Macaca fascicularis: one gene and its partners. The main gene of each other region encodes a partner of the protein of the gene in region 5 in a complex. Links are inferred from orthologs where the notes say so. Each region holds a gene or a part of one and is shown on either strand. Other genes may lie near its edges. The genes, in order: SIKE1, STK24, STRIP1, STK25, STRN3 and STK26.

What was found.
Region 1: the proteins of STRN3 (region 5) and SIKE1 are in contact, whole or in part, in a crystal structure (PDB 6AKL), measured with the Homo sapiens proteins. The link is inferred for Macaca fascicularis from reciprocal best matches to the Homo sapiens genes STRN3 and SIKE1. Residues at the interface, in NP_001077362.1 of Homo sapiens: Arg176, Leu179, Tyr182, Leu183, Val186, Tyr188; in NP_079349.2 of Homo sapiens: Glu96, His97, Ala100, Leu103, Ile104, Ser106, Lys107.
Region 2: STRN3 (region 5) and STK24 share a complex: the UniProt entries of both Homo sapiens proteins name them as parts of the core of STRIPAK complex. The link is inferred for Macaca fascicularis from reciprocal best matches to the Homo sapiens genes STRN3 and STK24.
Region 3: the proteins of STRN3 (region 5) and STRIP1 are in contact, whole or in part, in a cryo-EM structure (PDB 7K36), measured with the Homo sapiens proteins. The link is inferred for Macaca fascicularis from reciprocal best matches to the Homo sapiens genes STRN3 and STRIP1. Residues at the interface, in NP_001077362.1 of Homo sapiens: Thr64, Pro66, Gly67, Leu69, His70, Tyr71, Gln73, His74, Val88, Glu89, Ala91, Glu92, Ala95, Arg96, Phe99, Leu100, Glu103, Gly106, Gln107, Leu110, Asp113, Leu114; in NP_149079.2 of Homo sapiens: Arg441, Ile445, Tyr447, Leu449, Thr455, Val456, Val457, Gly458, Leu459, Arg491, Ser492, Pro493, Leu494, Ser495, Phe792, Leu793, Pro794, Val795, Asn797, Cys798, Leu799, Val802.
Region 4: STRN3 (region 5) and STK25 share a complex: the UniProt entries of both Homo sapiens proteins name them as parts of the core of STRIPAK complex. The link is inferred for Macaca fascicularis from reciprocal best matches to the Homo sapiens genes STRN3 and STK25.
Region 6: STRN3 (region 5) and STK26 share a complex: the UniProt entries of both Homo sapiens proteins name them as parts of the core of STRIPAK complex. The link is inferred for Macaca fascicularis from reciprocal best matches to the Homo sapiens genes STRN3 and STK26.

What each region holds. Positions count from the first base shown.
Region 1 is NC_088375.1:119,590,317-119,595,550, forward strand, and holds the start of SIKE1 (suppressor of IKBKE 1), read left to right. Parts: upstream 1-1,587; 5' UTR 1,588-1,659; coding exon 1,660-1,830; exon of another isoform or gene 1,831-1,880; intron 1,881-2,051; coding exon 2,052-2,157; intron 2,158-2,981; coding exon 2,982-3,124; intron 3,125-4,684; coding exon of another isoform or gene 4,685-4,717; exon of another isoform or gene 4,718-4,860; intron 4,861-5,234.
Region 2 is NC_088391.1:89,413,615-89,418,952, reverse strand, and holds the start of STK24 (serine/threonine-protein kinase 24), read left to right. Parts: upstream 1-2,226; 5' UTR 2,227-2,448; coding exon 2,449-2,526; intron 2,527-4,843; coding exon 4,844-5,074; intron 5,075-5,338. UniProt on the Homo sapiens protein: Serine/threonine-protein kinase that acts on both serine and threonine residues and promotes apoptosis in response to stress stimuli and caspase activation.
Region 3 is NC_088375.1:124,270,431-124,275,049, reverse strand, and holds part of STRIP1 (striatin-interacting protein 1), read left to right. Parts: exon of another isoform or gene 1-3; coding exon of another isoform or gene 4-56; intron 57-764; coding exon 765-833; intron 834-1,975; coding exon 1,976-2,082; intron 2,083-2,173; coding exon 2,174-2,301; intron 2,302-3,532; coding exon 3,533-3,715; intron 3,716-4,083; coding exon 4,084-4,301; intron 4,302-4,619. UniProt on the Homo sapiens protein: Plays a role in the regulation of cell morphology and cytoskeletal organization. Required in the cortical actin filament dynamics and cell shape. Part of the striatin-interacting phosphatase and kinase (STRIPAK) complexes.
Region 4 is NC_088386.1:137,457,741-137,462,813, reverse strand, and holds the start of STK25 (serine/threonine-protein kinase 25), read left to right. Parts: upstream 1-1,881; coding exon 1,882-1,911; exon of another isoform or gene 1,912-2,261; intron 2,262-5,073. Other genes in the region: uncharacterized protein, read right to left, coding at 891-1,883. UniProt on the Homo sapiens protein: Oxidant stress-activated serine/threonine kinase that may play a role in the response to environmental stress.
Region 5 is NC_088381.1:98,837,281-98,842,588, reverse strand, and holds the start of STRN3 (striatin-3), read left to right. Parts: upstream 1-1,858; 5' UTR 1,859-2,052; coding exon 2,053-2,334; intron 2,335-2,452; exon of another isoform or gene 2,453-2,593; intron 2,594-5,308. UniProt on the Homo sapiens protein: Calmodulin-binding scaffolding protein which is the center of the striatin-interacting phosphatase and kinase (STRIPAK) complexes.
Region 6 is NC_088395.1:138,329,891-138,334,509, reverse strand, and holds part of STK26 (serine/threonine-protein kinase 26), read right to left. Parts: intron 3,995-4,619; coding exon 3,901-3,994; intron 3,128-3,900; coding exon 3,065-3,127; intron 2,984-3,064; coding exon 2,847-2,983; intron 1,812-2,846; coding exon 1,787-1,811; 3' UTR 1-1,786. UniProt on the Homo sapiens protein: Serine/threonine-protein kinase that acts as a mediator of cell growth. Modulates apoptosis. In association with STK24 negatively regulates Golgi reorientation in polarized cell migration upon RHO activation.

The DNA of each region.
Region 1 (5,234 bases), on a different chromosome or scaffold from region 5:
ATGCCAAAACAGCTGAACAAAATGCTTGCATTTCATATAGCTAATTGCAGCAAGCCAAGATTACAGCAGCTCAATGCATAGAATTTATAGATAAGTCAATTTTGTAACCTTGCCTTTTGGTTTTTGGTTTTTGGCTCTTAACATTGCTTAAGAGGAGTTTTAAGGTTAATGAGTGCCTGCCCACCTCCTTCCCCATCTGGCCTAGAATGTTTAATTGGCTGTAACTCTTTTGACTCTAAGTCGGTTGGCCGCAGGAGTGACATGATGGACTCAGGACAGGTAGCACACCACCCTGGCATTGATATGGGACAAAATTAAAGTTTGGACACTGATACTGTCTCTGGGATACGTTGACAAAAAAAAAAAAAAAAAAGCGGAATGCTGTTTTGAAGGCATGAGTGTAGCCATTCCCCATCTGCGAGCGTTTGATTAGTAAAACTGCTTTCCTTTCATCATCAGTCACTTCTCATGATTTTGGCCTCTAGGCAACAAACAGCCAGACGTGAGCCAGTTGTAATAGCAGCATTATTTACAATAGCAAAAGGCGGAAGCAACCCAACTGTCCAGCGGATGAATGGATAAACAAAACGTGGCATATACATATTATTCAGCCTTAAAAAGGAAGAACATTCTAACATATGCTACTGTGTGGATGAAACTCGTGGACATTACGCTAAGTGAAACAAGGCAGTTATATGAATATAAATGCTGTATGATTTCACTCACGTCAGGTACCCAGAATAGTCAGATTTGTAGAGACAAAGTAGAATGGTGGTTGCCAGGGGCTGGGGATAAGGAAGAATGAGGAGTTATTGTTTAAAGAGTGCAGAACTTCAGTACTGCAAGACGAAGGAGTTCTAGAAATGGATGCTGATGGTGGCTGTATAACCATATGAATATACTACTGAACTGTACACTTAAAAATGGCTGAGATATTAAATTTTATGTGCATTTTGCCACAATTTTTTAAAACTTAAATGAAAGTAGGCCAGGCGCAGTGGTTCACACCAACACTTTGGGAGGCCGAGGCAGGCAGATCACTTGAGGTCAGGAGTTCAAAACCAGCCTGGCCAACATGTGAAACCCCGTTTCTACTAAAAATAGAAAAATTAGCCGGCATGGTGGTGCATGCCTGTAATCCCAGCTACTCGGGAGGCTGAGGCAGGAGAATCGCTTGAACCCTGGAGCCATAGGTTGCAGTGAGCCAAGATCGCGCCACTGCACTGCAGTCTGGGCGACAAGAGCAAGATACCAAGATACCGTCTCAAAAACGAAAAAAAATAAATAAAAATTAAATGAAAATAAAAAGAAAATAACTGTGACTGAATAACAATCCACATCAATGAAAACCAGTGGGGAAAAGAGACCTTCCTTCTGCCCAGCTCATCATGGCCTGACCACCAGGCTGTGGCAACTGGAAACCAAGAGCGTGGTAAGGGCAGGTCTGGGGCTCCGCGTCAGGCAGGACTGCAAGGAAGCCACAGGTAAAAGCGGGTGAACCCGCAAAATAGGGTGCCACTGCGCAGGCGCCTCTTGCGTCTGCCAAGACACCTTTTAAACGTGCCCGGAAGTGACGCCAGTAATGCTGAGACAGACTCCCAGAAGATCTGAGCGAGTCGCGTAGCTGAGCCCGGCAGGGGCTGGGGTTGTGCTGCTGCTATGAGCTGCACCATCGAGAAGATCCTGACAGACGCCAAGACGCTTCTGGAGAGGCTGCGGGAGCACGATGCGGCTGCCGAGTCGCTGGTGGATCAGTCGGCAGCGCTGCACCGGCGGGTAGCCGCTATGCGGGAGGCGGGGACAGCGCTTCCGGACCAGGTCAGGCAGAGGGTAGGAGTCCAGTGCTCTCGGATTCTGGGCACTGAAGGGTGGAGAGCGAGGTAAAGTGGGAACTCGGCCTGAAATTTATTCCCGGTCTCAGAGGGCGGCGGTGAGACCTTTTTCCTGGGTCGGAGCTGAGAATCCTGCCCTAGAGCCCTGACTTCTGCCACTTGAGTTGCATCTGCCGCTGTTCTCTTTAAGGCATGCTTAGACTGTCTCTATTTGTCCAGTATCAAGAGGATGCATCCGATATGAAGGACATGTCCAAATACAAACCTCACATTCTGCTGTCTCAAGAGAACACACAGATTAGAGACTTGCAACAGGAAAACAGAGGTTAGTCAGGCCTTTTCATATCTGGTAATAGTTTAAAGTTACTGCAAAATTGCCCTAAACATTCACAAGGGTGTGCATCTATTTCCAGGTCAGTACTTTTAGTAGGAGAGTCCTCCTGTGCTGGCTCAGTAACAGTAAAGTTTGTTAGATTACCCATTTCAAGGTCATCTGACTGATTTTGTAGCAGCTTACCAAAGAGGGGCTATGTAGAGTTAGAATTATTGCATGGTTTATTTTTAAGCATCTCCAGATGTGTAACAAAAGAGTTCATATCCTCATGGACTTAAAATTTAATGTTTAAATATTAATATAAACACTGAAGGTAAGATTTAAGGTTTTGTTTATGTTCTTGTTTGTGCAAGGTGAAGCAGCAGAATTTTACTCTAAGGGTATATATTCTTAGGCTTGATTAGTACATTATTAATGACTGTAGTATTAATAGTTGTTTACCAGAGGGGTTTCACATATATCATTCTACTGTATTCTCATATCTTCATTTTTATCTATCACAATGCTGTTAAGAAATAGGCTCAGAGAAGCTAAATGATTTACTTATGAGTATTAACCAAGCAAGTTACAGAACTGAACTCAAATCCATGTCTTCTGATGACATATCCGTTGTTGTTACTGCAAGATTTTGCTTCTCTGCCTAGAAAGTTACCTTTAACATAGACTTTAACTGCTCAGTTTTGTGGACTGAAACATTGATTTACAACCTTGGATTCATATTATCTCTATAGTATTGCAAAATTCTAACTGTTAAGACTTTGGATTTGGGAACTGTCTCTCAGACATCACTGCCAAGTTATTTTATTTTTTGACAGAGCTGTGGATTTCCTTGGAGGAACACCAGGATGCTTTGGAGCTCATCATGAGCAAGTACCGGAAACAGATGTTACAGTTAATGGTTGCTAAAAAAGCTGTGGATGCTGAACCAGTCCTGAAAGCTCACCAGTCTCACTCTGCAGTAAGAAACTTCGAATAAATTTGAAATGAACCAAATTGAAATCTTGAGATTGTTTTAGATTGTGTGCTTGTTTTTTTGCTTTTTGAGACAGGGTCTGGCTCTGTCGACCAGGCTGTGGTGTAATGGCACGATCTCAGCTCACTGCAACCTCTGCCTTCTGGGGTCAAGCCATCCTCTCACCTCTGCCTCCTGAGCAGCTGGGACTACAGGTGCACACCACCATGCCCTGTTAATTTTTGTGGGGTTTTTTATTATTATTATTTTTTTTTTTTTTTTGTAGAGATGAGGTTTCGCCATGTTGCCCAGGCTGGTCTGAAACTCCTGGGCTCAAGCGATCAACCCACGTTAGCCTTCCAAAGTGCTGGGATTATAGGCATGAGCCACTGTGACTGGCCATGTGTGCTTGTTTTTGAAGAAAAGTAAGCTTGTTTTCCTTTCATGTTTATCATATTTGTTGTTTATTTTGCCATGGCTTTGTAAAGATATGAATAGAAAGAAGGATAGTGGTTGCTCAGGTCCTTTTATTTGAATGGGACTAACGTTCCCCCTCCCTCACCAAGATCTCTTTTGAAAATGTTCATTAATTCTTAGCCCTCACACCAAACGTAATGTCAGTTAGTGTTGAAGGTGCCCAGTAAATACTTGGTTGGTTATTATACATTTCACTTAAGCTCCTTGGTTGTGAGGCACTTGAATTCACATTTTATTCCTAACATAGTACCTGACATATAGCAAGCAGTCAATAAACCTTTTATAAACTGAACCACATAGCATCATACTATGTTATTAGGGGATAGAAGTATGGTTTTTAAAAAAAACAAACATGGCATAGTTTCTATGCTTTGATTGCTTATTATCTAATTTGGGAGACTCGGTAATTGTTCTTATGTTTGTAGGTGCTTCATGGTTGTCATTGTACATTCGTGTGTACTGTGTCATTTAATTCTAGATGTATAAGTTGGAGCCTACTACTTCTGTGAGATGTAGTGAAATATAAGCTTCATCTTAAATTACATTGAATGCATTTTACTGACTTAAAAGTTTTAGGAAACAGATATTTTAAATATTTGAATGGCTTTCAACTGGAAGAGAAAAATAGATTTTATTTATTCTCATATGGAGGAAAAAACCTGAACTTTGAAAGAGACAGTTTACTCAGATAGATAAACTTTCTAAGTGATATGTCCAAAGATAGAATAAGGCACCTTGGAATGTAGTAAGCTTCCTGCCAGTGAAAGTATTCAAATTTAAGTTAAACAGCCACTTAGAGGTAGTATCCAACATCCAATGGGTAGTTAAACTACAACTGATTTTTTTTTCCGTTTCAAATATTTTTATTGGAGGGTGGACCTATTGGGTGATTGATGCACTGGACATAGATAATTTTCAGAAATGAAAATAACATTGCTTGCATCAGATCAGATTTCACCCACAGAAATGACTAAGGCCTTATCAGAGTTGGCATTGGATGAAAACTTAATCCTTTATGGAAAGGGAATCATCTGGCCTTCTATTTCTGAAATAGACTAAAGATTACTCATTTATTCTCTGCAATTACAGCCATCAGATCCTTTGAAATCTTGGAAGGCGTGAGAAGATAACATGACTGTAACACAAATCCATATCGAAGAGCCCAGTATTTAAAAATTCCCCATGTTCACATACTGAAGGGTTACTTATGAGCTGATGCATATCACTGATAACCATAGGATTATCAACTTGATGTCTGGGCAAAGAGTGAAAACAGAAAATGCATTCTACTCTTCACTTCTTGGTTTTAAATATAAGAAACATTATATATTTGTTTAAAAACTGTATCCCTGGCCAGGCGCGGTGGCTCAAGCCTGTAATCCCAGCACTTTGGGAGGCCGAGACGGGCGGATCACGAGGTCAGGAGATCGAGACCATCCTGGCTAACACGGTGAAACCCCATCTCTACTAAAAATACAAGAAAATTAGCCGGGCGAGGTGGCGGGCGCCTGTAGTCCCAGCTACTCGGGAGGCTGAGGCAGGAGAATGGCGTGAACCCGGGAGGCGGAGCTTGCAGTGAGCCGAGATCGCGCCACTGCACTCCAGCCTGGGGCACAGAGCAAGACTCCGTCTCAAAAAA
Region 2 (5,338 bases), on a different chromosome or scaffold from region 5:
GGAGATGGTACACCAGCTCAGGAACCACAGACCAGGTGATTCAAGGTGTGGGCTGCTCTTATGGGAGCAGCGGGCAAAGTCTTGTGGGGGGGTGTAGACACAAGGGATGGGTTATTAGTGCCATTATTGTAACAATCCACAAGGTTGCCTTCCGGTCCCCAGGGTTCATGTCCCTTACACATGCGAGAGAGACTCTTCCCTCCAGCATCTCCCCACTTCCCTCCTGGCACGGCGTCCGACTCAAGGTCTGCATGCCCTGCCTGCTTTGGGCTGGGTGTGGATGGGCTGCCAGCTCTTGATTCAGAGAGCCTCAGCTCAACAAGAGTTGTGGGACAGGAAGAGTGGGCCAGCCGCAGAGACTCCTCTTCAAAGAGGGCAGGGATGGAGGCATCTCACAACAGATGGGCCGCAGCAGTTCTGACCTAGAGCCAAGCATGGGCTGTCAGGGCCTCTGCTGGGGCAGTGCCCAGCTTCTAGCATCAGTTTTTGTATTAGTTGCCTATTGTTGAGTAGCAAGCCAACCAAAACCGAGTGGCCAAAACAGCAGGCTCACGATTTCTCGTGATTCTGTGGATTGAGCAGTTTTGCTGGCCTTTTCTGGGCTCTCTGTAGTCAGCTAATGGCATGGTTGAGGCCAGGTGGCCCAGGATGACTTGAGGCACATCCTGGGACCTCAGCTGGGGTCCAGGAAGTGGGCAGATGTCATTGTCTTTCTGACCACACCATTTTCGATTGCCTGCTTTCCCCTGCCTCGTGGTCACGTCCCTCTGCGGAGGGAGCTCTGCGAGTCCTCTTGGGGCCTTGCTTAGATTATATTCATCAGAACACAAAGCAAGACTAGCCACGGAGGCAGCCACTGTCTCTTGCTGGGGGGAGTGTCCAAGTCACACTCATAGGGTTGTGGACCCAGAGAGGTGGGATTTGTGGGTGGTTCTTTTTGTAACTGTCTCCCACAGGGTCAGCAACATGGTAAGGGTTTGGATACATTCTTGTTGCCTACTTTTAAAATTAAGTCTCAGAAAGCAAAGGCCACTGTTTTCTTAGTATGGGAGCAGGACGGTTACTGGAGGGGGGTGATCAGCTGACCTAGCATGATGGTGTTTTAGTGGCATGTCCCTTGTGGGGGCTGCCTGGCCTCCTGTCCCAGCCTGTGCCGAGCGGTGGTTCTCCAGGTGTGGTCCCTGGACCAGCAGCATCTCCCTCCCACCCCGGGATTCCAATTCTTGGGCCCACCCCCAGTTGACTGAATCAGAAACTCTTGGTGGGGTGGGGCTCTGTGGCCTTCCAGGGGAATGTGAGGCTCACCCAGGTCTGAGAATCACCGCTCCCAGGAATGACAGTGCTAACCGGCTCTCCTGACCTCAGGAAGGCAGGCTCTTACCACCCTTCTCACCCTTGTCAGCAGGGCTGCCCCTTCCCTCCAGGGCCCCCTGTCTGTGTGTAGGATAGCCTTTGAGGTGTCTCATCTGTGTCCTGTTCAAGCCAGGGTGAGTCTGGGGTTTTCTTATTGCTCAGGGGACATTTCCTGACCACAGTCCCATGCCATTTGTTATACCCGGGCACAGGAGTGTAGAGGTGCATGAGACACAGCCCCTGACTCCTCAGCTTGCAGCTGAACAAAGGACACAGCGCAGAGCAGAGGGCGACTGTGGGACGACAGTCCAGCAGGGGAAGCGGCGAATTCCGTGCACACATGTTGAGCTTGAAATGTCTGGGTAGAAAGAGAGAATGTCTGGGAAGCAGCTGGTCCGGGGGTTCCTGTTCAGAAGGCAGGCCTGAGCTAGCGCTTTGAAAGCTGTCATGTACATGAGTCTTGATCACAGCCTTTCCTTCAAGGTGGTGATTGACCAGAATCCATTGGGGTGTTTTAAAAACATGGGTTATTCACCTTGTTCTCTTCTGAACTCCCATATATTTCTGCAAGAATGTCAGATGTCCCAGGTTTGGGAAACGAGGGCCCCAGACCCTGAAACACTGGGCATCTGTGGGGAGAAGGAGTAGAGGCCCAGGCTGGGACCTGGAGTAAGGGCCAGACAAGGTGGAGTCAAGTTGGAATCTCTGTGAAGATCTTTCTGGAACTAGGGGGACTGGAAGAAGCCAGCGGGAGCAGGGCTGTGGATGCTGAAGGACTGGAAAGTTACCCAGAGGAGGGGGAGGGCGTGGTTGACGAGGCTCAGACACGACACTGCAGCACTGGTGACCGGAGCCAGAGCGGAGCCAGGCTGCAGTGGTGGGGAGGACCAGGCAGGTCCAGATGACTTTGAAGGGACTCCAGAGGAAGGAGAGGGTGGAGGAGGAGGGCTTATGGGTTAGGGAGGGTGCTGTCGTTTGTTTTAAATGGGAGAAACTGGAGCATGTTGCCAAGGGCAGAGAGCCAGCAGAGGGGTGAATGGAAGAAGGAGCCGAGAAGGGGTTTACTGACGAAGCCGTATCCTGGAGGAGAGAAGGATGGACTCCAGAGCCCAGCTTTGGGGACTGGCCTTGAATAAAAGGAGGGCCGCCCTACCTCACCCTGGAGGGAGCACGGTAAGGGAGAGGGCATGAAAGCAACGAAGATAGTAGCTGCCGAAAACGGGGTATGTTTCATTATAGCTAAAAAAGGAGATGAGCGCTGCTTCCCCCGCATCCCCAAAAGCTTCTCATCCTAGCAGCTTGTGTTAGAGGAGGTGGAGGTGCAGGCTCAAGGCCGCGTGCAGGGTGAGTCAGATGGGAGGTACCCACCCGGGCATTCTGTGGCATTCCCAAAAGTGACTGGTGATACTCAACTGGTATTGACAAGCTTGAACATAGGAAGAGGAGGATATTGTAGGGCTGCTCACTAGCTCCGAAAACAGTCTTCACTTGAGGAAATTATCCTGGGCTCTGACTGTGGGTCATTGACTATCTTGGTAAACCCAGGGGTCTTGGACTATGTTTTTAAAACCTGTAAGTACACAGCCAGGCTTCCTCCTAAGTATGACTGTCTTAAGATGTTTGAAATGTAGTGCCATGACTGAAAACAGTTTAGCAACTGTTCAGGAAAAAAAATTAAATGCCTCTTGATTAATCACCCAATTGATATGTTTAGTGAAGTACTTTAAGTGGAAATGAAGTTGGATAGATAGTTTCATTTTTAACACAACGGACGTTTGTGTAGCTTTTTAGGAGCCAAGGGGGATCATGGCTAAAACTGTAGTCCTTATAATCCCTGGCAGCTCGTTAGACCTCGGATTACGCTGGCCATGACCTTCCGGTGTGGGCTGAGCGCTCAGTGCCTGGCCTCTGGCCTGTCCTGCTTTCTTGGTAACCCCAGGATGCGTTTCCCATTGGGTACATGTCCAGCACACAAGCCTTACTTGGTTCATTTTGTACTAAGATGGTTGGTGGGTTTTGTGAGCTTTTGTGTTGTTTGATGTGCAGCCTCAAACCAACATGGGGCAGGGGCACTGCTCCCCTGTGTGCAGGAGGTCACTGTGGCTATCTGCTCATGTGTCGTTGTCATGATATGTGCGTTGTTGCCATGGTGGACACGCTGTAGCACAGTAAGGCCTGCAAACCAGAAATGGGCTGACTGGCTTTCAGCAGTTCTCTTGGAGAGTAGCTGCTCGGAACTCAGTGTGTCTCACCTTGGAGAGCTGTGGCTGGGTAGCCCCTGATGGCCCCGGAGGCTGGCCTCACTCATGATGCACTGCAGTTGCCATAGTGCTGTGTGTGTGACCCACCTCACATGCACTGCTCTGTGGATACCCTCTTCTGTGTCATCTTTCTTCTCGTTCTCTTTCTTTACCTCCTTCTCAGGCCTCCCTGTCCTCCCTGTGTGCTTGTTGCTTTCCCTAGTAGTTCAGCTTCTTCAAAGGACTGACAGATTTGGAGGGTTGGCCTGGCATTCTCTTCCCTATGGACCATTTCTGAGGGAAGATGTGTCTGCAGCGGTGGCAGTTCTTAGAGTCCTTCCTTGCTCTGTGGGGTTCCAGGCTATTGCTTGTCACCAGGGTGCCATTGGCATTTTGGGCTGTGCAGTTATTTGTGGGGAGATGTGCAGCGTCCCTGTCTTGCCTTGCTAAACGTCAGGATCGCTTCTCAGTTTCCTGACAGACAGGCCCTGTGGAGGACCGGTTACTGCCCCCCTTGAGAACTCGGCTGTTCACACGACTCTGTACTGTGTAGCTGTTAGGATGAGAGCTTGAACTCTGACAGCTAGCCTTCTTGGAACTGTATACTACATATGTGTGTGTAACTAATCAGGTGGTTAAGAGCTTTTAGAGGCTATTTCCGGGGTACAGCGTTTATGTGAGAAAAGGAAACAGGCTGCTTATTATTTTCTGGAATCTGGTTAGATTGTTACCGTTTTGGTAAAGGCAGTACTACTCATGAAGAGGCATACTTACGGTATACATTTTTTTTTCTATTCTGTGATATAGCTGGTTAACATTTTAGTAAAAATCCATTTGAATTCCGGAACTTGTGGGGATTGGGTGGGGAGAAAAGTGAATTTTTGCTTAGACAAGAGTGATTTTTCATTAAATCTATGTATCCTAACATGTTCAAATAAGCACTTAGATTTTAATTTACTCTCATTATACAATAGTTGGCATCTTTTCCATGTTTTCTAATCTAGCTGGGTAATTGTTCTTACTGGATGCTTGCTCTCTTTCATAGTCTGATGCGCATGTGTAGGTGAGACCTAGGAATCTTACGCCCTGACCCTGCAGAGCTGTGGTCACTACCAGCCTGATGGCTGGACAGAGAAAATAGATGAGTCCCTGGAAGACTGTGTGGTCTATAACATTACATATAAAATGACAAAGGAGTTGTGGTGCTTTGAGGGACTGAAGTTTCCCTTTTCTCTTCCTTCTCTCTACAGAACCTAAAGGCAGATCCAGAAGAGCTTTTTACAAAACTAGAGAAAATTGGGAAGGGCTCCTTTGGCGAGGTGTTCAAAGGCATTGACAATCGGACTCAGAAAGTGGTTGCCATAAAGATCATTGATCTGGAAGAAGCTGAAGATGAGATAGAGGACATTCAACAAGAAATCACAGTGCTGAGTCAGTGTGACAGTCCATATGTAACCAAATATTATGGATCCTATCTGAAGGTAAGGCTTAAAATAACGTGCTTTTCGTTCTGCAGCACTTGGCTGAGGTGCAAGCAGGGGATGGGAAGGACTCTGATAAGATACAGCACAGCAGGTTTCAGAGCAAGGAGAAACGTTTTGACCTTCGTGATCAAAAGAACCTGGCTTCAATGGTTCTGTCATCTCAAATGTCACCTATAGAAATATTTGTGGCGAAAGTGTTTGATGTTATAATTCTCTTTTGAACAAGAAAGAGTCTTTCTGAGTGGGACTTTGTCATAAAAA
Region 3 (4,619 bases), on a different chromosome or scaffold from region 5:
CACATGGGCTCAACCAGTGCCTGGCCTTGCCTGTGTCACCTTTGTCCAGTGGACAGGTCAGCTGCTGCTCATCTAAGGATAACGCCATCAATGATAATAGCTAAGACCACTCACTGAGTGCCTATGTGTCCCGGGCATTGTTCTCAGGATATTACAGGTGCTAATTCATGTTAAGGATATAGGTACTGCTATCATCCCCATTTTACAGATGAGGAAACTAAGGCACAGTTAGAGCCAGGATTCAAACTGTGGCAGTCCAGTGCACGACTGGGTTTTTTTTTGCTTGTTTGTCTTTTGTTTTTTGTTTTTTGGGGTTTTTTTTGAGAGTCTTGTTCTGTTGCCCAGGCTGGAGTGCAATGGCGCGAACTTGGCTCACTGCAACCTCCACCTCCTGGCTTCAAGCAATTCAAGCAATTCTCCGGCCTTGGCCTCCTGAGTAGCTGGGATTACAGGTGCCCGCCACCACACCCGGCTAATTTTTGTATTTTTAGTAGAGATGGGGTTTTACCATGTTGGCCAGGCTGGTCTCAAACTCTTGACCTCAGGTGATCCACCCGCCTCGGCTTCCCAAATGGTGTTGGGATTACAGGCGTGAGCCACCGTGCCCAGCCATGGCCTGGGTTCTTAGCCATCGTATCCTGTGGCTTCTTGTGCAGTCCAAGCATGTATCACAGGATTTTGTGTCCCCATTGGTCAGTACTTGTCAGGGACATCACTTATCTTCCTTCTTGGAGGAAGATGCTGACTCTCAAAATCTCCTGCAGCAACAGTGCCGCCTGCAGCAGTGCTGTGAGGAAGCCCGCCATCTCCCTGGCTGACAGCACAGACCTCAGGTGAGGCGAGCAGCAAGCCTGGGCTTCCGAGCGTTAGTCAGAGATGAGATCAGAGCAGGGTGTGGGAGGCTGGCTGTGGGTGTCCTTGCTGTGTGTGCTTCTGTACACGTCATCTGCACGTTTGATGGGCCCACTGTGAATGCTTAGTAGGAACTGCTGAGGGCTCATCCTAGGTGGGGCTCTGGGTTGAGACTCCCAAAGGCAATCCAGGGTCAGGTGACTTAGAGCCACAGCTAAGTGTGGGCCTCCTACTCACACTGTTACTCAGGACCCAGTTGTGGGTGTTTTGTATTTGGGTGAAACACTTGATAATGTTCCCAGGGCTCCCGCCGCCTTGTGTACACAGCTTGATCCTCATCTTCACTGGGTTAGACCCGACAGCTTCCTAATGTTTCATAGCTGCCCAGGAGCTCACAGCAACTGCTGAACACCAAGATCACCCTTCAGTTTTTGAAGGTTGAAATCTGGCTCTTTTTATGAATTTGGAAGTTTTTAGACTAGGTGGTTGTAGTGTTCCCTCCTAGGTGTTAGGATCCCTGGGTGTCACCTCTCAGCTCCTGCTTTCCACTTCCTCATCAAAAACCCTGTTTTTGTTCTCGCTGTGACCCCGTTCTGCTTTGACCCTATAGCTCACTACCATCTCTGGTGCTTTTCTTTTCAGGAAGCTTAGGGCGGTAAATGCTTTTGGCCATTCTTGTTCATATTCATTTATTCAGCTACCATTTATTAATTTTTTTTTTTTTTTTTTGAGACGGAGTCTCGCTCTGTAGCCCAGGCTGGAGTGCAGTGGCCGGATCTCAGCTCACTGCAAGCTCCGCCTCCCGGGTTCACGCCATTCTCCGGCCTCAGCCTCCCGAGTAGCTGGGACTACAGGCGCCTGCCACCTCACCCGGCTAGTTTTTTGTATTTCTTAGTAGAGACGGGGTTTCACCGTGTTAGCCAGGGTGGTCTCGATCTCCTGACCTCGTGATCCGCCCGTCTCGGCCTCCCAAAGTGCTGGGACTACAGGCTTGAGCCACCGCGCCCGGCCACCATTTATTAATATTAAGCCCCTGCTTTATGTAAGCACTTTGTTAGACACTAGGGTGCTCCTTCGACCCCCCCACCGCCCTACTTCATTGTGAGCTGGCTCTTGTCCTCAGGGTCCTGCTCAACATCATGTACCTGATAGTGGAGACCGTTCACCAGGAGTGTGAGGGTGACAAGGCTGAGTGGAGGACCATGCGGCAGACCTTCAGAGCCGAACTGGGTAGGACCCTGGGGATCCTCTCTAGAGGCCCTGCCTGGAAGCTGAGGCGGAAGGCTTTGGGAGGGTCCTGATACCTTTGTGTCACCTCCAGGCTCCCCGCTGTACAACAGTGAGCCGTTTGCCATCATGCTGTTTGGGATGGTGACCAAATTTTGCAGTGGTCACGCCCCTCACTTCCCCATGAAGAAAGTTCTCTTGCTGCTCTGGAAGACAGTATTGGTGAGCACCTACTTGGAGGAGAACTCAGGTGCTAGGGGATGGGCAGTAAGGAGACTGTTCCTTGAATATCCTTTTGAATATTGAATTATGTGACTATAAAACTGCTTTGGTAAAAAAAAAAAAATTATTTAAAAAGCGCTAAAAGGAGATGACAAAGTAAGTGCCACTATTGTCCCTTTGTAGCCAATGAGGACATAGGCCTTGAGTCAGAACAGACTGTTGGCTCCCTGACTCCTGGAAGATGTTTTCTGTCATAGAACAGCTCTCCCCCAGACAAGCTGCCTCTCAGCAAGCAGCTCTGGACCTGGAGTTTGTAAAGGGATTTAAGGCAAAGTTAAAGCTGGTGTAATTGGGGCCCTGGTAGGATGTCACTTGAAGGGGCAAGCGTGAGCCCTGAGCCAGCCTCCATTTTCTTCAGGGTATGGTGTCAACCCGACTCTGTGTCTAGGTAGGGAGGGACTGGGTGCCAGCGTGGGCCGTCCAGCACACTGGGCTTTGGAGCATTGTTAGCAGCCAGGCCATGCCAGGAGGCCTTCCCAGGAGGAGTGGCGTGGGGGAGGCAGTGGAGGTGGGTTGGGCCTCTGTTACACTGGGGCTCATCCTTCCTTTCAGAATGGGTCAGCTCTGGAGCCAGGGCTCAGTAAGTGTAGGATTTCTTGAGTCATTGACGCATTTTTATCTTGGCCACACATCCTGTTCTTCACAAAGCCTTGCTAAGGCCAGAGAGGAAAGCTGAACTGCTCAGAAACAGCAAAACTAAGCAATCTAAAATTGCTGCATGGTGCTGGGGTTTCTGTTTCTTGGGAGATGTTTAGATGAAGCTTTTTTTTTCTTTTAAATTTGAGCAACCAACTGTATTTCCAGTTTGACTTGGAAAGACTCGCATGTACAACTCGTGAAACATGAGTCTCACCAACTTTTCTAGGGACTTGCAGGGTTAGGCTCTTTGCTTTTTAAATGAAGAGTATGTCATAGGTGCAGAGTTAGTGTATCTGCACTAGGGTCAGTCAGCCTGCATCTCTACTCTTTCCTTGTTCCTTTTTCTCCTTTCCCTTGCGGATGTCGCAGAATTCTCCTCGGGAGTGGCTTCAGTCCGTTGTTCAGGGGTTGCCTGGGTCTCTATAAAGACGTGGGTCATGATGTGATGGGTGCTTCTGAGCCCAACACAATGGTCAGGGACCAGCCCTGTGGACACGTTGACTCTGGCTCTGCTTCCCTGTCTGTAATGCAGTGCACGCTGGGCGGCTTTGAGGAGCTGCAGAGCATGAAGGCTGAGAAGCGCAGCATCCTGGGCCTCCCCCCACTTCCTGAGGACAGCATCAAAGTGATTCGCAACATGAGGGCAGCCTCTCCACCAGCATCTGCTTCAGACTTGATTGAGCAGCAGCAGAAACGGGGCCGCCGAGAGCACAAGGTGAGGGTGACAGAGGTCCCTGTGACTCCTGAGGGCCCTCAAGGTGTATGCTTGCAGCAGCACAGTCCTTGGAGGAGCAGGGCTGCTGGAAATGATCTCTGATCAACCAGTCAGAATCATGCCTCCACGGCAAGGACACTTTGTCCCCAGCTCTGGTCCAGTTTATGGTGGGTGCTCAGCACGTGGTGCTTTTGAGGGACTGGAGCAAGAAGTACTTGATGGTTTGGCCCCCGTCTTGACTCCCCCTCTGGTTTTTCCACTGTTCCTGCCTCTACCTGACACCCCTGTGCGCTGTGTCTCCTCCAGCCGCACTTCCCTAGTCTGCATCCTCAATTGGCTCTTGTCTCATCTCACTTCCCTGGTTTCAGGCTCTGATAAAGCAGGACAACCTAGATGCCTTCAACGAGCGGGATCCCTACAAGGCTGATGACTCTCGAGAAGAGGAAGAGGAGAATGATGATGACAACAGTCTGGAGGGGGAGACGTTCCCCCTGGAACGAGATGAAGTGATGCCTCCCCCACTACAGCACCCACAGACTGACAGGCTGACCTGCCCCAAAGGGCTCCCCTGGGCTCCCAAGGTCAGGTGAGTCTCAGACCTCCAGAGCACTCATAGCTCCTGAGGCCAGAGCCCTCACACCCTCAGGCCTGCCGCCTGGCCTGCGTCACCGTGTGTGGTCCTCTGCAGGGCAGGCTGACCGTGGCTCTGGGATGAAGCTCTCTTAAAGCGCCTGGTGCTGTCCTGAGGGTCTCAGGGAGGCTAGCCTTGCTGGTCTCACACAACATGGCCCCCATGTGGCTACTGAGTCAGTAATTGGAGTTAGCTCTTGGTTAGACGTGCTAGTGAAGGGGGATAGGAAACAAATAAAAACAAAAGCATTTAAGCAAACATGTCCCCACCCCT
Region 4 (5,073 bases), on a different chromosome or scaffold from region 5:
GGTCCTGGGCACAGCTCTGCTTGCAGGAAGCCCACTTCCTCCTGGGGAGTCAAAGCACAAACAAAACCAAGTCAGTATGTCAACAAGCAGGGGTGATGAGATGGGGACCCAGGGGTTCAAGGGGCTGTCCTGGATGCATGACAGGGAAACATGGCTTCTTAAAGGACTTGGCAACGCACCATGAGAAAACACGCACCAGGGAGCAAAGAGAAACGCCAGAACCCTCTTGAGGAAGGAGGGGTGTGAGGTGGTCAGGATAGTCATCTGTGCTGAGCCATCATGGAAACTGAGGGCCTGTAAGGGTGGACACAGAGTGGAGGACAGACAAATCTTCCTCACCGGACAGGTGGGGATCCCTGCGGTGCACCAGGGGAATGCACACAGGGGGCACTATGACCTGGCGGCCCACGGGGCAGGGGGGCGCACCAGGTAGCCTTGGGCTCTGCAAGTCCCTCCCTGACCTTGGGGAGGTGACCCCAGTGCCACGACGGTTTCCAGCAGCAGTCACTGTCCTGGGCGGGTACCGCGCTCTAGCCCAGGTGGGTCCCACAAAGGTGTGACCAAGGATGTCCTATGATCACCCCTTTACAGGTAAGGAAACTGAGGCAGAAGATGCGAAGGTCGCGCAAGGAATGGGCTGTGCAGGTAGCTTCTCCAAGGCTTGCTGCGCCCTGGCCTGTGCGCATGATCCCGAGCGGGGTCTCGGTGCGAACAGGGGTTTCGCGGTGTGACCAGCGCCGGCTTATCTCCGAGCCGTGAGGACAAGGCCAACAGCCTGGGCGGCCGCGGTGGATCCTCGGGGCGAGGCGGGGAGGGCGCGGGGCCTTACTGGCCAGCTCGGACCAGGGCTGCGCAGGGCAGAGCCCAAGGGAAACGCCGCGCGGCCGCCGTCACGTCGGAGACGACGCCCTGCAGGCGCCAGCAGACGCAGAAGGCCAGCGAGGGCGAGGCACGGAAGACGCGACGCGACAACGACCACGTGCCCCGCCCGCCCCGCCGCGCGCCCTGCTGGGAGACGCAGTCCAAGCCTTTCGGGAGCCGAACTCGGGGTCCCAGAGAGCCTCGCGGCGCGCATGTGAGCCCCGCCCCTCTCTCGCGGCCTGCCGGGACTTGTAGTGCAACGCCAGCAGACTTCCGGGCCCGGAATGGGCGGTGGGACTCGGGGTCCCAGAGAGCCTCGCGGGGCGCATGTGAGCCCCGCCCCTCTCTCGCGGCCTGCCGGGACTTGTAGTCCAACGCCAGCAGGCTTCCGGGCCCGGAATGGGCGGTGGGACTCGGGGTCCCAGAGAGCCGTGCGCGGGCCGCGACGCCGAATACCGCCCTCGCCGTCGCCTCCTCCGGGCTTTCTCCTGTCGCTGCCGCCACCGCCGTTGCTTCGCGGGCTGGGAGGCCCGGGGTCCCCGGGCGAACAGAGGCTGCGGGTGGGAGCCTTCGCGGGCGCTGCAGAGCGGGCCGGGGGAGGCCGGGATGGAGCCCCGCGGAGGTGGGCGCGCTGCCGGGCGCGCGTTAGCGGCGATTGGGGAGGGGGCGGAGGGAGGGGCCCGGGGCGGGGCTCGGTGGCGGGGACTCCGGGGCGGGGGCACCGGGAGGAAGCTGCCTCGGAAGAGGTGGGGGCGGGGACGGGAGGGGCGGCGAGTCCCCGGGAGCCTGGGCTGTAGGCCCGGGCGTGGCGGGGCCCCGATGGCCTGGGGGTCTCCTGGGGCCCCCCTCCAGCCCGCCGCCCCGGAGCTCGGTCTCAGATGACTGAACTGGGCGCCGACCGCTCCTGCTGTCCCTCGCAGTGGACTGACGCCGCAGGGGCGAGCGAGCCGGCTCCACGCCTCTCCGCGGGATCCAGACGCCTCTCGGGGCTGTCGGCGGAGGGTCCGAGGCGGCCCGGCCATGGCTCACCTCCGGGGATTTGCCAACCAGGTGAGGAGGGTGCAGTTCAGGAAGACTAGCGGCCTCTCAGCGAGGGGCGCCAGAGCTTCCCGGGGGCTCCGAGGGGCGCCTCGCCGGAGCGGGCGGTGGGTGAGGGAAGGAGCGCGCGTCGTGCGACCAGCGGAGCCGTCCTGAGGTGGGCGCAGGGCGGCCCCCGGGCTCTGCCGTGTGCTTGTGGCGTTTTGCGTGGTAGGAGCTCGCAGACCTCTTGACACCGAGCCCCGGGTGGCTCCGCCTGTGCGAGGGCGGCGGAGGTGCGTGAAGAGACACCGGCTCCGGGACAGGACGCTGCCCCCAGCGCGGGGCGGGAACCTCGTGTCGGCATCTGAAGGCAGTGGAAGGTCAGGGGCCACACTGCGGCCTGAGCCCGGGCCACGGGTCGTTCCGGCCGTTCTGGCCGTGTTGGGCTGGGCGGGGGCCGTAGAGGAGACCCTGATGGGCGCTGAGGGGCTGGGAACGTGGAGAAGCCGATCTGAGCGGCCGGTGTGCAGGGAAAGCGGAAAACGCGTGTGTGCTTTGGCCCAGGGGAAGGTGAAAAGGCTGCTCTGTTCAGAACCGTTTAACCCCTGCTACGGGCGGTTGCCCGAACAGGAGGCTCGTCATTCCTCTTTGAAGAAGTCGGTTCCACTATGGAGCCACCTTGAAGCGTCTGGTGGGACAGCCTCGGAGGGAGCCACTACAGCGAGCCCTTAGTCTGGAATGAGGACCAGCTGCTGCTGCCACAGGGCATGCCAGGGAAGGAGGGTGGGGACAGCCAGCCTGGGACCTGGAGACTTGCACTGTGTACCTCTCCCCATTTTTTTGACTCTGGCTGCTGGGTTTTTTTACGTCTTAGCGTTCGGTTTTGCTCTCCTTGATGCCTTGGCTCTGCCTAAGGTGTTGGAATCGCCGCTAAAATGTGTGGCCCTCCTTGTTCACTCCTCTGTGCTGAATTCCTGAGAGCTGGGTGTGCAGTGGAACAGGAAGGGCGTCTGTCCGCATAGGGGCAGGAACTGGAGTCAGGGCTGCTTTGGAGGAAACTGGACCAGCCTAGAGACCCGGAATACCGTGTGCAGCTCTTGGGCCAGGCAGCCTGGACCTGCGCGGTCACAGATGGGACTGGGGCTTGCTGACTGATGCTGAATTAAGCTAACAGATTTTTGACTTTCTGTATCTGGTAACTTACATGACTAAGGTGCTGGGAGAAAAATCTGTCACCAATTTATTTTATTTTTATTTTTTATTTTTTTGAGACAGAGTTTCACTTTTGTTGCTCAGGCTGGAGTGCAATGGCGCAATCTCAGCTCACTGCAACCTCTGCCTCCCAGGTACAAGCCATTCTCCTGTCTTGGCCTCACGAGTAGCTGGGATTACAGGCGTGTGCCATCACGCCCAGCTAATTTTGTATTTTTAGTAGAGACGGAGTTTCACCATGTTGGTCAAGCTGGTCTCAAACTCCTGACCTCAGGTGATCTGCTTGCCGTGGCCTCCCAAAGTGCTGGGATTACAGGCGTGAGACACCGTGCCCGGCCACCAGTTTATTTTTAAGAACTGCAGAAATAGCTCCTTTGGGTCACGGGATGAGAAATTGGAGCTCTGAGGTGCCCTGTGACTGTGTGCTGTTGGTTCTTGGTGCGATCAGACCCAGGGAAGGGAGTGGGCGCACTGGGGAAGGGAGTGGGTGCACTGGGGAAGGGAGTGGGTGCACTGGGGAGGGAGTGTGGGCGCACTGGGGAGGGAGTGTGGGTGCACTGGGGAAGGGAGTGGGCGCACTGGGGAGGGAGTGTGGGTGCACTGGGGAAGGGAGTGTGGGCGCACTGGGGAAGGGAGTGTGGGCACTGGGGAAGGGAGTAGACGTACTGGGGAGGGAGTGTGGGCACTGGGGAAGGGAGTAGGCGCACTGGGGAAGGGAGTGTGCGCACTGGGAAGGGAGTGGGCGCACTGGGGAAGGGAGTGTGGGCGCACTGGGGAGGGAGTGTGGGCACTGGGGAGGGAGTGTGGGCACTGGGGAGGGAGTGTGGGCGCACTGGGGAAGGGAGTGTGGGCACTGGGGAAGGGAGTAGGCGCACTGGGGAAGGGAGTGGGCGCACTGGGGAAGGGAGTGTGGGCGCACTGGGGAAGGGAGTAGGCACACTGGGGAAGGGAGTGTGGGCGCACTGGGGAGGGAGTGTGGGTGCACTGGGGAAGGGAGTGGGCGCACTGGGGAAGGGAGTGGGCGCACTGGGGGGGGAGTGTGGGCACTGGGGAAGGGAGTGTGGGTGCACTGGGGAAGGGAGTAGGCACACTGGGGAAGGGAGTGTGGGCGCACTGGGGAGGGAGTGTGGGCGCACTGGGGAAGGGAGTGGGCGCACTGGGGAAGGGAGTGTGGGCGCACTGGGGAGGGAGTGTGGGTGCACTGGGGAAGGGAGTGGGCGCACTGGGGAGGGAGTGTGGGCGCACTGGGGAAGGGAGTGTGGGCGCACTGGGGAAGGGAGTGTGGGCACTGGGGAAGGGAGTAGACGTACTGGGGAGGGAGTGTGGGCACTGGGGAAGGGAGTAGGCGCACTGGGGAAGGGAGTGGGCGCACTGGGGAAGGGAGTGTGGGCGCACTGGGGAGGGAGTGTGGGCACTGGGGAGGGAGTGTGGGCGCACTGGGGAGGGAGTGTGGGCGCACTGGGGAAGGGAGTGTGGGCACTGGGGAAGGGAGTAGACGTACTGGGGAGGGAGTGTGGGCACTGGGGAAGGGAGTAGGCGCACTGGGGAAGGGAGTGTGGGCGCACTGGGGAAGGGAGTGTGGGCACTGGGGAAGGGAGTAGACGTACTGGGGAGGGAGTGTGGGCACTGGGGAAGGGAGTAGGCGCACTGGGGAAGGGAGTGTGGGCGCACTGGGGAAGGGAGTGGGCGCACTGGGGAAGGGAGTGTGGGCGCACTGGGGAAGGGAGTGGGCGCGCACTGGGGAAGGGAGTGGGCGCACTGGGAAGGGAGTGTGGGCACTGGGGAAGGGAGTAGGCACACTGGGGAAGGGAGTAGGCACACTGGGGAAGGGAGTAGGCACACTGGGGAAGGGAGTGTGGGCGCACTGGGGAAGGGAGTGTGGGCACACTGGGGGGGGAGTGTGGGCACTGGGGAAGGGAGTGTGGGTGCACTGGGGAAGGGAGTAGGCGTGCACTGGGGAAGGGAGTGTGGGTGCACTGG
Region 5 (5,308 bases):
CACTGCATTCCAGCCCGGGCAACAGAGTGAAACCCCGTCTCAAAAAAAAAATAAATAAAATAATAATTTGAAGAAATAGTCCCTAGCATTATAGTACTACGATCTAATATCTCATTTCATATATAAATAAAACATGGCAGCATGAGTAACAAGTCCAATCTGCTTTCCATTATACTGTAATAACAGTAAAGCAGACATGATAAAATAAGATGAATTACTTTATCTCTTTGAAATTACTTCCTGATTGGTTGGTAGTGCATACTCCTTAGTACAAGTTTTATTGGCTTTTGCAACAAAGAAAAAAATTTTAAAAAGTAACAGATCTTAAATGCAATTTTCCTGTATCGCTATTAATATAATTACCGAACCTAATTTCCTTATGTTGCTAATTATTTTTGTCTTATTTTTCAAATAAATGCTTCTTAGCTATATTAATTTTTAGAAACATTCTAGTGCATTAGGATATTTTCTAGGAAACTAAGCACATAAAAATACCCACGATTGTACTTAAAATATTAGCCTTGTCTCTTATGCGTATATTACATTCACTCAAACTTTTAAAAAAAATTTTCCGACACGGAGTCTCGCTTTGTCGCCAGACTGGAGTGCAGTGATGCGATCTCGGCTCTCTGCAACCTCAGCCTCCTGGGCTCAAGCAATTCTCGTGCCTCAGCCTCCTCAGGAGCTGGGACTACAGGCGTGCGCCACCACGCCCGGTTAATTTTTGTATTTTTAATAGAAATGCGGTTTCACAATGTTGGCCAAGCTAGTCTCGAACTCCTGGCCTCAAGTGATCGCCCACCTCGGCCTCCCAAAGTGCTGGGATTACAGGCTTGAGCAGCCGCGTCCGGCCATATTCACTTAAACATTTAATGACCCAGGAGAACATCCATCTAGGATTTTAAGTTGTACTCACAATGCTTTTATTTTCTGTTTCGATCAAAATAGTCTATTGATGACAATATTTGTGAGCCCATTCATTTCTAAGATATCAAATTGTTAGTCTAGCCAGTCTCCTTCAAACTTTTCTCCCTTTACCTACCATCGTCAAGATCCAAAGGAATTCACTACCTCTTCTTCTCCCAAGAAAAAAAAAAATCGCTCCTCCCCCTCTCCCAACCCCCCGAAACACAACCCATTCCAGAAAAGGAAAGAAGAGGGGACGCAAAGTGGAATAAGTTACGACGCGCGACCCAGCGCACAGAAACGGTACCAAAGCCCAGGCTCGAGACGGAGACGAGGAATCAGTAACCACAGGCGGAGGATCTTGGCTATTTGCCAGAAGAGAACTGACTGGTGCTAAGAAACCAGAGACAGAGCCAGTGACAGGAAGGGAAAGAGGGCCCACCCTTGGGACTGCCTGAAACACCCAAAGAATGAAAAAGAAACGTCAGGAATCCGAGACGGGCTGCGGTCGGCCAGAGCGACCAGCCAGGTTAATAACAAGCTCCGAAGCCCGGCACACGGGTGAGAGACCCTTGGGAAGGAAACTGCGCCTGGGGACGGCCTGCTCGAAGGAAACTGATAACCAGGAAGCCTACGGCCGCCTCGCTTCCAAAAGCCAAAGTCGGAGCCCCGGCGCCCCGTAGCTGCCGGCAGACACCGCACCGGGTCAATACGCCGGCCTAGAGGCGGAGCCCGAGCTCTTTCCCCGCCCTCTAACGGCGACCCGGGTTGCGTTCTCAGTGCGCCGGCGTAGGGTGAGGCCGGACTCTATTTGGCGATTAAGCGTGAGGCTGCGTTCGCTACCCAGCATGCTGTGCGCTAGTGACGGCCCTCCGCCTATCCCCTTCCCAACTCTCCCCCCACCCCTCCCGCCGCGGCCCCCCTTCCCCTAAAGTGAGTGAGTGAGACGGGCAGATGGAGGAGGGACTGTAATGGCGGCGGCCGGCAGCTCCCTGCTCTGACCCACGGCAGGCACACAGTAACGACCCCTTCCCCGCCCCTCTCCCGGCCGGCCTCCGCCCCGCAGCCAGCGCGGGGCCACCCTCTCCGGCCCTTCCCCCAGCTGTCGGCGTCTCGCCCTGCGCCCCGGCCGGGGCCCCACACACAATGGACGAGCTTGCCGGAGGCGGTGGTGGCGGCCCGGGGATGGCGGCCCCTCCCCGGCAGCAGCAGGGACCTGGGGGGAACCTGGGCCTTCCGCCGGGGGGGAACGGAGCGGCGGGCGGCGGGGGTCCTCCGGCCTCCGAGGGAGCGGGTCCCGCGGCAGGCCCCGAGCTGTCCCGGCCGCAGCAGTACACTATCCCGGGGATACTGCACTACATCCAGCACGAGTGGGCTCGGTTCGAGATGGAGCGGGCGCACTGGGAGGTGGAACGGGCCGAACTGCAGGTACCTCGTTGGGGTCGGTGTGCGGGACGGCTGCGGCGGCTGGGTTCCCGGCCGGGGGGTGGGGCCGGGGACTCCCCTCAGCCGGAGCCGGTGCCTTGGGAGGCCGAGCGGAACCTACCTGTGCTGCTCGGGGTGTGATGGTCCTCTCAACGGCTTTTCCTGGAGTCCCCCTCCCTCTTTCCCGCAGAAGCTTGCTCCCCAACCTTCACTAGCTACGCGGTGCGGGCCTCCTCCGGGCAGCCATTTTGGCTTTTAGTATGGCGTCTGCGGGGGCTCCTCTGGAGGCGGCCTTCCCGGGTCTCCGGGGCTTGGGGCCGAGCACCTTTCTGTGGGAGAGTCCGGTTTGGGGCCTCTCGACCCAGAGTTTACTCTTGTTTGTTCCTCTTGAGATGAAGAGCCTGACGAGAATGACTAGGATAGGCATCTTACCCCCCTTTTCCGGACCACCCCCCCTTTCCGATTTGGCATATCTGGCCCCCTCCCTCAGTCTTGGTACGCACTTGCCCCTTGACAGCCACGCTTCTTTCCTGGGCTGCTACGGTGCACAGTGACTTGGGACTGACCTGTGAAGTTTTATTTCCCATCGTCAACTTTTTAAGTACTTTCTTACCTGAGATGCTGCCTTAGTCACTTGGATTTTCTGTAGTTATTCCTTACTTAGTGACTCATCAACGCTTTCAGCACTGAATTTTTCTTTTCACAGTACTCTTCACTAGATCTCCTTTCCTCATCTCTTTATCTATAAAAAAACCCAACCAGACGATCGATGCTGTACTTATGAAACGACTGAAGAGATTTAATATTCGCTTGAACTGAAATGTAGTTATATCATGTTACTTGTGCAGGAGAAGTGAGATGTTCTCAGGACCCTTCATAGTTGAGCTTGACTCGATCCTCATGATGTGAACCTTTGATAGGCTACACATTTGGAAGCTGTTGGTAGTTAACAGCTCATGTCCTGGTTCTCAAAATTGCTGCATCTTTTTGAAAGGATTATTTAACTTTCTTAGGTATTTGTGTTTATTTTTAAGTACCTTTCCAGGGCAAATTTAGGCTTAGAAGCAAAAAGCATGCGTCTAAATAGTATGGCACCTGTTCTTCAGACTGTTGTATATTTAGGAGGTAAGCAGTGTTTGCTGTCATATATGTCATATGCCTATGGTGAATAGTTAGGCAAATGTAGTGCTGAAAGGAGGAGGATTGGATTAACTAGAAAGGGTGTCCTCAAACAAAGGGTTTAGTTTGGTTCTGAACTAGTAAACTTTTATATGACTGCACAAAGTGGGTGAAGTTAAACTTTTCAAAAGTAAAAAATACTTGGGTATTTTGACACTGTATGAAGTCTTAAAAAATTGTAATACTTGTTAGTCATAGCTTTACAATTGTGTTTTGATATAATATTGGGCTTTAAAATTACATAACTTTAAAAAAGCTGAAGTCAAAACTGGTTTCTTTTAAGTTGTGTACAGTCTTGCTTTAAAATACTTAAAATTTATAGAATTCTGTTGATATACAGCTTTCTACTACATACTGTAAACTTAATTTTCTGTGTGAGTAAAGTTAGGCATTTGTTCTTAAAATTTGGATTGACAAATGCATTAAGGCCTAGGCTCACTAAGTAATACTTCACCAGTCCCTGCTATGGTTTCTTTGACCTTTGTACTATTGTATGCAAGTTTTGATTTTAACACTGTTTAAGTTAACAATTGCATTTTTCACCCATAAACTTCACTAATGTGAGCAGCTGAGAAGAAAGATATCTTGTGCGCAAATTAGTAAAACCTATACTATATATTAAAGAAGCCTTTATTGCCTGCTCTAGCATTTGCTTTCCCTTCTTGGTCTCCTCTCCTTAACGGGCAGCAGCAAAGAATTTTAAGGAAGATTCTTTTTGCTTGCTTGCTTGCTTGCTTTCAGATCTATTGGTACAGTAGTTCTGTTATTAGCCATCCTACGTTTTTGTTTGTTTCCTTGTTTTGAAGAAGTCCTACACTGTTTCTAGACTTATTTCGTACTGATTCTTTTGGAGTAAAATGTTCACGATGGCTTTGGTTTTTTTTTGTGTTATATATTTAAAATGTTTTATTGGGTTAACTTAGTTAATAAGGTTTCTAGTTTCTATCAGGAATATTGAATTTGCCTTAGGTGCCTTCAGTCTACTGAGATTGCTTGTGAGATGCATATTTTAAAATGTATGTGTTGAATACATATTTGTGGGAGGATGTAGTGAAGCATCAGTGGATTTTTACTGTAAACCTAAACTTATTTTTAAGAAAGACAATCTAGAATTAAGACAACTTACATATTATTATGTGCAGTCTCCGGTGCGATTCCATCTACACATATTTTTAAAGTGTTAATTATGGAATAGTTTCAATAGAGAACATGAGCTTAAGGAATACCCCATATTGATGTAAAATTTTAATGGGGAATATTTTTTTCCCTGGCTTTGGGAGAGATATTAAAAGGAACTTTGCAGTATGATTCTGTTCTCCGTAAAAAGAATTTATAGTAAAGGTCTTAGAAACTTGGAACGAAACCAAAGGATCATGTCTTAAAGCTCTTCTGTCTCTGATTCTTCCTTACCTTGAACTCAGGTAAAGCATTGTTAATAAGGTCGTAGGACAGTTGTTTCTTAACTTTTATATAACATGAATTACCAAAATTCCACAGACAGTCCACTTCAAGCCCTAGATCAGTCCAGATCTCCAGAGATTGAGAGGCCTACGTATTTTTTAAAGTTCTACAAGTGATTCTTTCTTCACAGTAGTGCCTGTTACAGAGAAAAATCACTACACTACACTTTTCTTTTTTGTAATTTCATAGTAGATTCATTAAATCTTGTCATGGAAAAGACACTAGGATTTGCAAATCACTATTCTAGACCAGCTTTTGAAAATCCTGAAAATAGAAAATTCAGGAGATTCCCCCCTTAGAAATGAAGAAATCAAGTTAAGTCTAAGCAAAATATCTC
Region 6 (4,619 bases), on a different chromosome or scaffold from region 5:
TGAAATTTAAATATTTATTTTCAAAACCCCAAAACACTGGAGTATGCTTCACCTAGAAACAGTTTACAGGACGAATAGCTATAATGAATAAGCAATACAATTTGTATTTGGGATGCAATTGTGTTGTAAAGTTTCAAATAATCAATTTATAAATTTGCTGCTTTTACTTTTACAAAAATATTCATTTAACCCATAACATGAGTTGCAAAATTATCTCCAGACTTCTACAGATTATAAACTGTAATTGTGTTTCAGTTACACAGCGGGTGAAAAATTTAACTGAACCATTACTTCAAAATACAATGCATTAAAAATAATTGTTACAATATAGGCACCAATAAAAAGAATTTTCTTGGCATACAACACCAGAACAACCTTCTCAAGTATCTATACCATGTAAAGTAAAAAGAGGATGTAATGGCCACTTTGACTAAAAACTGTATTCCTTACAGGAAGAATATCTTTCGTCTAATATTTGGCAATTACTCAGATTTTTTTAAAATGACTTTTGTGCAAAAACCAAATTGTGCAGATCCAAACAATTAAACATTAACTATCAAAACTAAATATCAATAATTCTACAACTACTAAAATATAGCCCCAGTTCAGAACTTAGGCAGGCATAATACTGGGCTTAAAAGAAAAAGGCATCACCAACATAATAGTGCCATAAATATAAGTGAAAATTAACTGTGCAATCTAACTTACCTTTGAGTGGACAGAAATCATCCTGTACTATGGTTATTTTCATGTGAACTAGAAAATGCTCACTTAAATATCCTTTTAAAAACAACAAACTGATGCTTATTAGTGACAATTATGAAGAACAAAAATATATAAATAGTTTATAGGACAATTCATTACCATGGCAAAAATATGCTGGTGTAACTTATATTCATACCTATGGATCAGGTATTTAATCACATGACAATCAGCTTTTTTTTTTTTTTTTTTGGCTCTCAAAATCCAAGCAGATAGTATGGGATTTTAGTTGAAGATGTAAAACATGAAGCCAGACTAACTCCTCCAACATTACCAAGCACCTATCCTTGGGTAAATGATCTTGCTTTAAATTTCTAACCATGTTAAATAAGGGTAAAATTGCCTCTTCTACCTAAAAGAGAATGTAAATACTATACACCAAGAGGTACCTCTGTTGCTGTACATTGCCTGTAAATGCTTCAAACACAGGATCTCAAATGTGATAATCATTGAGCTGCCTGGAATATCATACCAACTTGGTAGAAGAATCAATACTTTTACAGGTTTCATTTAAAAGACTTTACTAAAATTTTCTGTTTTAAGAAGGTATGACTTATTTACACCTCCCCACCAATAGTCATTTTTAGAATACGCATGTTTAAAAAACAACAACAACAACAACACTTTTTGAAGCTTGATACTTTACAAAAGCTGAATACTGAGAATGACTTTGAAAGACCTGTACGTTTCATGACTGTAGTCAATTAAAGATCAAGACGTGAAAGGTATTCATCTTAGTAACTTAACTTAAGAAATAGGGATACTTAAAAGCAAAACGGTGTCTCAACATTTACTAGAATACAGGTGAAACTATAGTATTAAAAGTTACTCCTTACAAAATAATCCTTTCAAAATATAAAATGATAAACACCATCACAAAATAGTTTAATAGCTTCTTCCAAATCTTCAGTGTTGCAAAGATCCAAAAGGCACCTGGAGCTCATGGGTTAAGCATTGTTAAGCTTGAAGTAGCTTTGGTGGGGCTCTCTGGGTCCATATGAAACAGAAGCCAATAATAAGTTTCTTAGGGGGATTCGTTTGCTGAACACCTATAAAATTTTTTAAAAATGTAAACAAATGTACAACTATGCATATTTATATTTCTCTTTTGTATGAACTCTGCAATGAAGAAACTGATTCCACAAAAGGGATACATTGTTTTTATGGAATCTCATCATGTAGATGTTAAAATATAAACAAGTTCAAAAATCCCTTCTGTATCTGATTTCACAACTTCCAATTGATTTGTTTTCAAATGGGAGGTCTTCATTAAAATATAAGGGATTTTAAGAGGGGGTTAGGTTTACGAGTACAAGTGAGCCTTATCAGATAGAAAGATCTTTGAGAGTGTGTGATTTCACAGGTCACAGAGTTTGTTCCAACTCAATCCCAGTGGCATCACAAACAAAGAAATATAAAGATGCACTGAGAAGAGATATAACAAGGTCAAGGCTAAAATTAGTATCACCTTATAGCTTGCTTGAGCTAAGGAGTGTATATGTGTGTACATGCATACAAAAGTCTTGTTGAAAATTTTTTAAAAAATTAAATGTAAGAACTTTTTTGAATGTGAACAAAATCAAATGAATATTTCAAGAGACAACATAGAAACTGAAGTTGAACATAAGAGCCCTTTTTCAGTCTGGATTGAGTCCCTCTACCTTTTCCTTAACTTTTCATATGGAGGTCAAATGTAGGAACTTTAGCACTGGAAATTATGCAACTAGTGGTGTTTTGTTAAATTCTGAGGGTAGTGGCAAGAAAGAAAGCATTCCCCAATGATATTAATGAGAGCTCAAATGAGAATATGCTCAGTGACCTTTTGTCCATACTCCTACTAGTGGAGAAAGAAAAACAGGCCATTTCATGCAGTGGAAAACTACCTTGTCATGCCTAAAAATTCCAAAAGCTAATGTTTAAGATACACAACAAACAAAAACTATTTTTAAGTATACAACTATGTATTAAAAGGTGACTTTGTTAGGAATAATTGGAATGGTTGAATCAACGAAATTACATTGCATCATAAATTAACATACAACAGAAAATGCAAAATAATTTTTAAAATGACATTTCCAACTTACTTTTGAAATTTTTCAATTAGCTTCTTCACCATTTTATCTGTGATGCCAGGACAGGCGGCTTCAGCCACAGCAATACTTTTCTCGAGTTCTTCAATCGCCTGATTCCTGCTAGCATTATTCTCGTCCTGCTGTTTAAGCTGAGAAAGAGTAATAATTAAAACACTTAAAATATTATACTACTTCAAACAGATATCCAAGGCCAATTAATCTGTACTTACTTCAGCAAATGCAGGTGTGATTATCATAGACAAACAGCTCAGGGTTTGCACAAGATCTTGCTCCTTTGAACAAATGATACAGATTATACACATGAAATTAAAATAATTGTTATGATTTTCTTATTCTTTAACAAATACGAACTAATTTGAATGCCCCACTGAAAACAAAATATTGTATGCAAGGCAAGTCTCTAAGCTTTCTTCCTGTCATTCATTCCCATTCATCATCCAGAAGTCCTCTAACTTCTAGGATTACAATAGACACCTATGATTCCCTGGGCTTATGTATCTCTAGGTGAAATGCACTTAAAAAATACCAATATGGGCCGGGCACAGTGGCTCAAGCCTGTAATCCCAGCACTTTGGGAGGCCGAGACGGGCGGATCACGAGGTCAGGAGATCGAGACCATCCTGGCTAACATGGCGAAACCCCGTCTCTACTAAAAAATACAAAAAACTAGCCAGGCGAGGTGGCAGGCGCCTGTAGTCCCAGCTACTCGGGAGGCTGAGGCAGGAGAATGGTGTAAACCCGGGAGGCGGAGCTTACAGTGAGCCAAGATCTGGCCACTGCACTCCAGCCTGGGCGACATAGCGAGACTCCGTCTCAAAAAAAAAAAAAAAAAAAAAAAAAAAAAAAATTCCAATATGGCCACTTAAATAACTTCTATTAACTTTTTTAATTAGCTCAAAACTAATGACAAATGAAGCATACTACAAACACAGTGAGGCAGACAGGCATTTGGGGTATTCAATCCTAACAATTTTGGGCCATTATAATCTCACTACATAGTTTGAAAAACTGTATGAAGAGTAAGTAATTGTCTCCATATACATACTGCCCCATTCTGTACTTTCTTTGGATCAGGCTTCTTTCGTACGGTGGTAAAGCTCCATTCAGGATGAGTATTGTTTTCCCTGCTGGTAGATTCCCTAAAGAGATTGCCAAAGATACCTCTATAAGTGACCAAATGATTCAGCTTGGCAAAAATATCAAATCGATGTATGTAGAATCTAAAGGAATAATTGTCCCAATGTTTAAAAACTCCTGGTACAAAAAAGATCTGATCTCAGCTGCAGGTGAATACTACATTTTACTACAGAGTGGTAGTGGAGTGGTTCTCAGCTCGATGTGTGCTTCATTGAGACCTCCTACCAAATGTAAATACCTGTCCCTCACTGCTCCCCACCTATTGAATCAGGATCTCCAGTGGTGTGGCTTGCGATTGCTTTAAGGTTCCATGTGCATCCATGTCCCTACAAAGGACACAAACTCATCCTTCTTGGACTCGGGAAGGGGAACATCACACACCGGGGCCTATCATGGGGAGGGGGGAGGGGGGAGGGATTGCACTGGGAGTTATACCTGATGTAAATGACGAGTTGATGGGTGCTGACGAGTTGATGGGTACAGCACACCAACATGGCACAAGTATACATATGTAACAAACCTGCACGTTATGCACATGTACCCTAGAACTTAAAGTATAATAATAATAAATAAATTTAAAAAATAAAAATAAAAATAAAAAATAAAAAATAAAAATAAAAATAAAAA